Macaca fascicularis: one gene and its partner. The protein of the gene in region 1 purifies or fractionates together with the protein of each later gene. This does not show direct contact. Links are inferred from orthologs where the notes say so. Each region holds a gene or a part of one and is shown in the gene's direction. Other genes may lie near its edges. The genes, in order: TSPYL6 and PSME3.

Region 1 (4,440 bases):
TTTAATAAATATAAAAATGGATTATGTGTACCTTGAATGTTTGGTAGTAGTTGCCTCAAAATCATTTGAACCTCACGCTACTTTTGTGGAAAGATTTTTTTAAGCTACTGATTCCATTTATTTACTGTCTCTAGGTCTATTTAGATTTTCTATTGCATTTCAGTCCTTGTTGATAAGTTATACATTTCTATGAAGCCATATATTTCATCTAAGTTTGAAAATGTATTGGCATAAAGCTGTCTAACATCCTGTCATATTTCTTTAAATAATCAATGTGACTATGTTTTCCTTTCCAAATACTGTTTCTCTTTTTATTATTAATCTTTGGTTGATACTCTGTATTGTCTTACATAAATTTCTGTTTATTATTACCTTTTATCTATGTCCTTTGGCCTAACTCTATTGGTCTTTTGTTTATTACTCAAATTATTTTTCATGATGAGTGATACAGCAGTTGCCAATATTTCCAGTTTCCTCCTTCCAGGCTCAGGAGAAGGTTACACCTCCCTGTCCTATTAAAGTTAGACAAGGTCAACTGACTAGCTCTGGCCAATGATTTATGTCACTTTTGATGGAAACATTTAAAAACCTATGAATGTGGAAAGAATGGTCTTTTCAATAAACAAGGCTGGGTCAATTAGATATTCATATGGAAAAAAACAAATTGTGACCCTACTCATAAAAATGAATTCCAGCTGGATGGCAGATACAAATTTGAACAATCTTGGTGAGATAAGGTTCTTCATTTTTAAATTCTTTTTTGAAATAGAGATGGGGTCTTCCTATGTTGCCCTGGCTGGTCTCCAACTCCTGGGCTCAAGTGATCTTCCCACCTCTGCCTCTCAAAGTGCTGGAATTACAGGTGTGAGGCACTGTGCCCAGGCAAGAGATAAGATTTCTTAAACAGAGCAGAAAAACACTAAGGTAGAGGGGGAAATGACAAATTGACACATATTAAGATGAAAAACTTTTGTTCCTCAAAAGGTACCATTAAGATGATGAAAAAGTAGGCCAGGCGCAGTGGCTCACGCCTGTAATGCCAGCACTTTGGGAGGCCAAGGTGGGCGGATCACCTGAGGCTAGGAGTTCAAGAACAGCCTGGCCAACATGACAAAACCACATCTCTACTAAAAAAAAAAAAAGAAAGAAAAGGCTGGGCATGGTGACAGGCATCTGTAGTCCCAGCTACTTGGGAGGCTGAGGCAGGAGAAGCGCTTGAATTCGGGAGTCAGCAGCTTCAGTGAGCTGAGATGGCGCCACTGCACTCCAGCCTGGGCAACAGAGCCCGTCTCAAAAAAACAAAAAAACCTCAAAAAACAGAAAAAGTAATCCACAGAGTGGGAGGAAATATTTGTAATATCTATACTTGAAGAATGACTAGTATCTAGCATGTACAAAGGCTTCCTACAAATCAATATGAAAAAGAACACCTGCCCAACAGAGAAATAGGGAGAAGCCTCAGATACTGCACAAGAGAGAATATCCTAATGGCCAAAAAACATATGAGAAGGTTCTCAGTTGATTAGGCTTTGGCTAAATGCAAATTAAAACCGCCATGTGATACCACTACTCATCCAGCACAATGGCTAAAATAACGATGCACAGGACACCACCACAGACTCGCGAGACTGAGGGGTGGGTGTCGCGAGACTGAAGAGTGGGCGGTGCAAATAGTCGAGGTGTTTACTCGCCATTTTGTGTGAGGAACGTTGACGGGACCCACCGTTGTGGCCTGGCCTCTACCGACTGCCGCCCTGGCCGCTACCAACATGAGCCTCCTGGAGAGTCCTCACAGGCCTGCTACTCTCGACCGTGCCCCGGAAGACCCGCACCAGGGCCAGAGGTCCCGAGAGAAGAGCAAGGCGACACAGGTAATGGCAGATGTGTTTGAGGGCCGCTTGGAGCCAGTCGTGCTCCCACCGCCCCAGCTTCCAGAGGAGGGGGTCGCACCCCAGGATCCCGCAGATAGTGGCCGTACTTTCCACATCTTGGTCGATGGGAGTCGCAGTCGTGGAGCCATCAAAGCTGGACAGGAAGTGACTCTACCACCCGCGGAGGGCCTAGAAGCAGCTTCTATCTCGCTGACAACTGACGGCAGCCTCAAAAATGGCTTTCCGGGTGAAGAGACGCCCGGCCTAGATGGGGAGAAGGCTGTAGAAACCTGTGGTGCAGGGAGGTCGGAGTCTGAAGTGATTGCAGAGGGGAAGGCCGAGGACGTGAAGCCTGAGGAGTGTGCCATGCTCTCAGCCCCAGTCGATGAGAAGCTAGGAGGCGAGGAAATGGACATGGCGGAAGGAAACAGAGCAACAGATGAGGTAAATAAGGATGCAGGGCCTGGGCCCCGGCCCGGGCCCCTGAACGTGGGTCTCCACCTGAACCCCCTGGAGTCCATCCAGCTGGAACTGGACTCCGTGAATGCCGAGGCTGACAGGGCCCTCCTGCAGGTGGAGCGCAGGTTTGGGCAGATGCATGAATACTACCTAGAGCAGAGGAATGACATCATTCGCAATATCCCGGGCTTCTGGGTCACTGCTTTCCGCCACCACCCACAGCTGTCTGCCATGATTAGAGGCCAAGATGCCGAGATGTTAAGCTACTTAACCAATTTGGAAGTGAAGGAGCTCAGACACCCTAGGACAGGCTGCAAGTTTAAGTTCTTCTTTCGAAGAAACCCTTACTTCAGAAACAAGCTCATCGTCAAGGTGTATGAGGTCAGATCCTTCGGCCAAGTGGTGTCTTTTTCCACTCTAATCATGTGGCGCCAGGGCCATGGACCCCAGTCCTTCATTCATAGGAACCGACATGTCATCTGCAGCTTCTTCGCCTGGTTTTCAGACCACAGCCTTCCAGAGTCCGACAGGATTGCTCAGATTATTAAAGAGGACCTCTGGCCAAATCCACTGCAGTACTACCTGTTGGATGAAGACGCCCATAGAGCTAGACGTCGCCCGATGAGGGAGCCAGTGGAGATCCCCAGGCCCTTTGGATTCCAGTCTGGTTAACCTTTGCCTTTGGAACTACTCCTGCAGAAGGTCCCCTGCCACCACGAGCTGGACCTGTGGTTGGGCAACAGCATTAGGTATGCCCTTTTTTTTGTTCTGACTTTCCTCTACCCTCTGTTTAAACTTTCCGTTCTCTCAACCTGAAGATTGATACCTTGGTGGCTATGCTGCTTCCCTTTCACCTGGTTGTCTTGCTATTCTGCATTAACATCACATGCTCCCAGCCGATGGGTTACATCCTTCTAAGCGAAGCGAATGATGCTGTAGATTATACTGTCTTTACCTTTGTTTGGACTCTGTTTGTTCCCAAGACCTCTGGTCTGGCTCCTATTTGGATTTCTAGTTGTGTCTAAGAACCTATTCGGCTCACCCTGCTCTGCATCTGACAGTACAGGCACAAGGACTGTGGACAATTGCTGGGCATTAATGAAGTCAAGGGAGAACAGCAGGGGGCAACTTGGTCTGTGTGAATTATGGGACTCCATTACTTTTCCTGAGACTCTGGTCACCTATTGCTGCCTGCTACTGGCTATGCCCACCACCTTGGGCAGCTCCCTGCTGAGTGAACATATCCCAGACCATTGCCAGCTCCACTCTGTGGTTTCTAATCAACAGGGATCTCCACAACACTGGTGGTGGACACAGGTTTCCTGTCAGCACACAAAAGACTCCTTCCTCTTCCAAAAGACCTCTCAATTCTTTGCCACCACCACCCTCGTCATTCAGAAACCCTACTGTCAGACAAATGGTTGAGGGGACATGTCAGACCCTATCCTCATGGCAAGGTTAATATGTTGGTGTTCTTGACAAGTACCAAGCTTTCTCAGCCACAACCAGTGGATTCATTGAAAATCTAGGTACTTTTATTTTCCTCCCTTCCTGAACCTAATGAAGTGCCAGAGTGAGTGTACACTTTCTTTTCTCTCATCTCTCATAAATCTCTTCTGTCTTCCTTTAAAAAAAAAAGTAGTAGTTCAGAAACATCTGCAGAAGCAGGCTTTTTAGTTTCTTTGTCATGTCCAGAAGCAGGCTGTTCTGTAAAAGAGACTGCCAGACCTCTTATTCCCCATTCTCCTTTCTTTTCAGCCCCTCATCCCTCTTTAGCAATTCCTAGAGGGTTTAAAGGAATACAGAGCTGGATGGAATGAAAGGTGATTTCTAGTTCAGAGTGGATAGAAGAATGAAGGAGATTGTGATGGGTGCTCTAAGCAGGGAAAACTGAACAAAAAGGCAGAAATGATTCAGGGGAAAATCAGGCCTAGAATTAACACTGGGTTGACTAGTTATGATGGGAAGAGAAGTACTTTTTTTTTTTTAGTATTCACATAGAAGAATAGAAGATGGTTGGAGTGTTAAATATGTTGCCTAGAGAAGGGTTCTTTGAAGAAACACTGTAATTTTGGGTGTTCTCTTTCTTGTTTGCATGTGGCCTTATTTA
Region 2 (3,619 bases), on another chromosome or scaffold:
CCAGGATGGTCTCGATCTCCTGACCTCGTGATCCACCCATCTCGGCCTCCCAAAGTGCTGGGATTACAGGCTTGAGCCACCGCGCCCAGCCCCAAGAACCTTTTCTTAAAGCTTTATGTGTACTTAGGAAATTGTGCAGAAATTAATAACACAAACTATGAGGCTGAGGAAGGGATTAAACTTGCTTGGAGGGTATCTTGTGATGGACATGTGGGTGTCAAAAGAAGGCTCATCCCTGCCTCTTTGTATCCTTAGCCCACTTATAAGAAGCGAAGGTTGGATGAGTGTGAAGAAGCCTTCCAAGGTAAGAGGCACCCTTACCTTACCTCTCCTCACCCCACCCCTGACTTGCAACCCTGAGAAGCAGGTGGATCTAGTTCTCCCGACCAGGAGGCAAGATCTGATCTCACTTCCCAGAGGTAGCATTCCCAGCTCCTCCAAACATGCTTGTTATTTAGTGCTCTTAACCTGGTTTTCCAATAAACAGAGGGTTTAAGACTTTTGTCATGTTTCAGATGCTCATCTGTTGTTCTTTTGTTCCACACATTCTCGTTGATTCTAATAGTGGTGTCTTGGTAGGATTGTGACAAAGGCAGAGGTCATAGCATCTGATAGGTATAGGAAAAATGAGAGAGAGACGGGATGCTGTGTCCTTCCCTCTTCCCTGATCATTTGACCTTCATATCTCTGCCAGGAACCAAGGTGTTTGTGATGCCCAATGGGATGCTGAAAAGCAACCAGCAGCTGGTGGACATTATTGAGAAAGTGAAACCTGAGATCCGGCTGTTGATTGAGAAATGTAACACGGTGAGGCACAGGCTAGTGACCTATGGGCCGGCCCCAAGTACCCCCCGTGAAGTGCAAGAAACAGTGGATGTACGGGTGGTATGGGAATTGGCAGACTAGATTTTTTTGTGGTTTTTTTTTTTTTTGAGATGGGGTCTTGCTCCGTCACCCAGGTTGGAGTGCAGTGGCGCCATCTCGGCTCACTGCAACCTCTGCCTCCTGGGTTCAAGCGATTCTCCTGCCTCAGCCTCCTGAGTAGCTGGGTTTACAGGTGCCTGCTAACACACCCGGCTACTTGTTGTGTTTTTAGTAGAGATGGGGTTTCACCATTTTGGCCATGGCTAGCCAGGCTGGTCTCGAACTCCTGACCTCAGGTGATCCACTCGCTTCAGGCTCCCAAATTGCTGGGATTACCGGTGTGAGCCACTGTGCCTGGCCAGACTAGGTATTTTGGCTTCTGTGTTCCTGGCATCTGGCCCCAGCCGTCTGAATTGTGTACTTAATGGCTTCAGCCTTCAGGCAAAGGTCCTCATATATGTTTTGACCTCCAGGTCAAAATGTGGGTACAGCTCCTGATTCCCAGGATAGAAGATGGAAACAACTTTGGGGTGTCCATTCAGGTAATGTACTTGAATTACGAACTGGGAAGAGCGGCTTGGGAGATACTCTCATCTCCCCTGCGTTAGCTTTTTTTCCTTTCTCCTTGGGGCTGCTGTGGATGTCATGGAAGTGGCTTTTGATGCACCTGTTGTTTGTTTGTTTTAGGAGGAAACAGTTGCAGAGCTAAGAACTGTTGAGAGTGAAGCTGCATCTTATCTGGACCAGATTTCTAGGTAGGGCTGCTTGGGCTTGGCCGAGGCATTGGGGGCTGATGAGGTGGTGGGCACCATCAAGGGTCTCCTGCAGCTTCCTCCTCTTCTCTCTCCTTTCAGATATTATATTACAAGAGCCAAATTGGTTTCTAAAATAGCTAAATATCCCCATGTGGTAAGTAAGTGGTTTGTGGCCTGAGGGTGGAGGTGGCAGGATAGTGAACAGTGACTGTTACTGGGAAGGAGCTATCTGGGAACAGTTGGGCCTTGGGGACTAGCTTTTTCCTCTACCCTCCTTGCAGGAGGACTATCGCCGCACCGTGACAGAGATTGATGAGAAAGAATATATCAGCCTTCGGCTCATCATATCAGAGCTGAGGAATCAATATGTGAGTAACCTCAGTCCTTGTATAGTTGCTGTGGCTTCACTTAGTTCTGTCGAGAGTATTCTTGAAATTCTCTGAAGGGCTGAGATGAAGGTCTGAGGTAAAATTAGTAGACTAAATTCTGTTCATCAACTGAGTGTTGAGAACCATGAAGTCCTCTAGCGGGGTTTCTCTCTTCTTTCTGCCTGAGAGGAGGGGTGTGCCGTACAGTATGGTTAAGATATCGGTGTTAGAGTCAGACAGACTTAGGTTTGCAACCAGGCTCTACCTGTATTGTGTGATCTCGAGCAAATTGTTTAAGCTCAAACTTCAATTTCTTCTTTAAAATGGGACTGGGGCCGGGCGCGGTGGCTCAAGCCTGTAATCCCAGCACTTTGGGAGGCCGAGGCGGGCGGATCACAAGGTCAGGAGATCGAGACCACAGTGAAACCCCATCTCTACTAAAAATACAAAAAATTAGCCGGGCGCGGTGGCGGGCGCCTGTAGTCCCAGCTACTCAGGAGGCTGAGGCAGGAGAATGGCGGGAACCCGGGAGGCGGAGCTTGCAGTGAGCCGAGATCACGCCACTGCACTCCAGCCTGGGCAACAGCGTGAGACTCCGTCTCAAAAAAAAAAATAAAATAAAAAAAAAAAATAAAATGGGACTGGGCTGGGTGCAGTCGCTCATGTCTGTAATCCCAGCACTTCAGGAGGCCAAGCCAGGTGGATCACCTGAGGTCAGGAGTTTGAGACCAGCCTGACCAACATGGTGAAACCTTGTCTCTACTAAAAATACAAAATTAGCTGGGCGTGGTGGCACATGGCTGTAATCCCAGCTACTTGGGAGGCTGAGGCAGGAGAATCACTTGAACCCAGGAAGTGGAGTTTACGGTGAGCCAAGAGCGTGCCATTGCACTCCAGCCTGGGCAACAAGAGTGAAACTCCGTCTCAAAAAAAATAAAAATAAAAATAGGCCTGGTGTGGTGGCTCACGCCTGTAATATCAGCACTTTGGGAGGCCGAGGCGGACATATCACTTCAGGTCAGGAGTTCGAGACCAGCCTGACCAACATGGAAAAACCCTGTCTTTACTAAAAATACAAAAAAAAATTGGCGCATGCCTGTAATCCTAGCTACTTGGGATGCTGAGGCAGGAGAATTGCTTGAACCCGGGAGGCGGAGGTTGCAGTGAGCCGAGATTGTGCCTCTGGACTCCAGCCTGGGCAATAAGAACGAAACTCAGCCTCAAATAAAAATTAAAATTAAAAAAATAAAATGGGACTGAAGAGGCCGGGTGTGGTGGATCACACCTGTAATGCCAGCACTGTGGGAGGCTGAGGCAGGTAGATCACATGAGGTCAGGAGTTTGAGACCAGCCTGGCCAACATGGTGAAACCCCATCTCTACTGAAAATACAAAAAATTAGCTGGGCATGGTTGGTGGACCCCTGTAATCCCACCTAATTGGGAGGCTGAGGCAGGAGAATCGCTTGAATCTAAGAGGCGGAGGTTGCAATGAGCCAGGATTGTGCCACTGCACTCCAGCCTGGGCAACAGGAGCGAAACTCCGTCTCAAAAAAAAAAAAAAGAAAAGAACTGAAGAGTACCTACTCACAAAATTCATTCAATTTTAAAATAAGTGAGATAACACATTGAAG

The links.
Region 2: the proteins of TSPYL6 (region 1) and PSME3 purify together in Homo sapiens (affinity purification with mass spectrometry; 3 studies listed by BioGRID and IntAct, counting the BioPlex papers as one, with this or other methods). This does not show direct contact. The link is inferred for Macaca fascicularis from reciprocal best matches to the Homo sapiens genes TSPYL6 and PSME3.

What each region holds. Positions count from the first base shown.
Region 1 is NC_088387.1:67,591,489-67,595,928, forward strand, and holds the start of TSPYL6 (testis-specific Y-encoded-like protein 6), read left to right. Parts: upstream 1-1,579; 5' UTR 1,580-1,769; coding exon 1,770-3,002; 3' UTR 3,003-4,440.
Region 2 is NC_088390.1:63,893,832-63,897,450, forward strand, and holds part of PSME3 (proteasome activator complex subunit 3), read left to right. Parts: intron 1-255; coding exon 256-304; intron 305-694; coding exon 695-807; intron 808-1,337; coding exon 1,338-1,406; intron 1,407-1,551; coding exon 1,552-1,619; intron 1,620-1,718; coding exon 1,719-1,773; intron 1,774-1,900; coding exon 1,901-1,987; intron 1,988-3,619. UniProt on the Homo sapiens protein: Subunit of the 11S REG-gamma (also called PA28-gamma) proteasome regulator, a doughnut-shaped homoheptamer which associates with the proteasome. 11S REG-gamma activates the trypsin-like catalytic subunit of the proteasome but inhibits the chymotrypsin-like and postglutamyl-preferring (PGPH) subunits.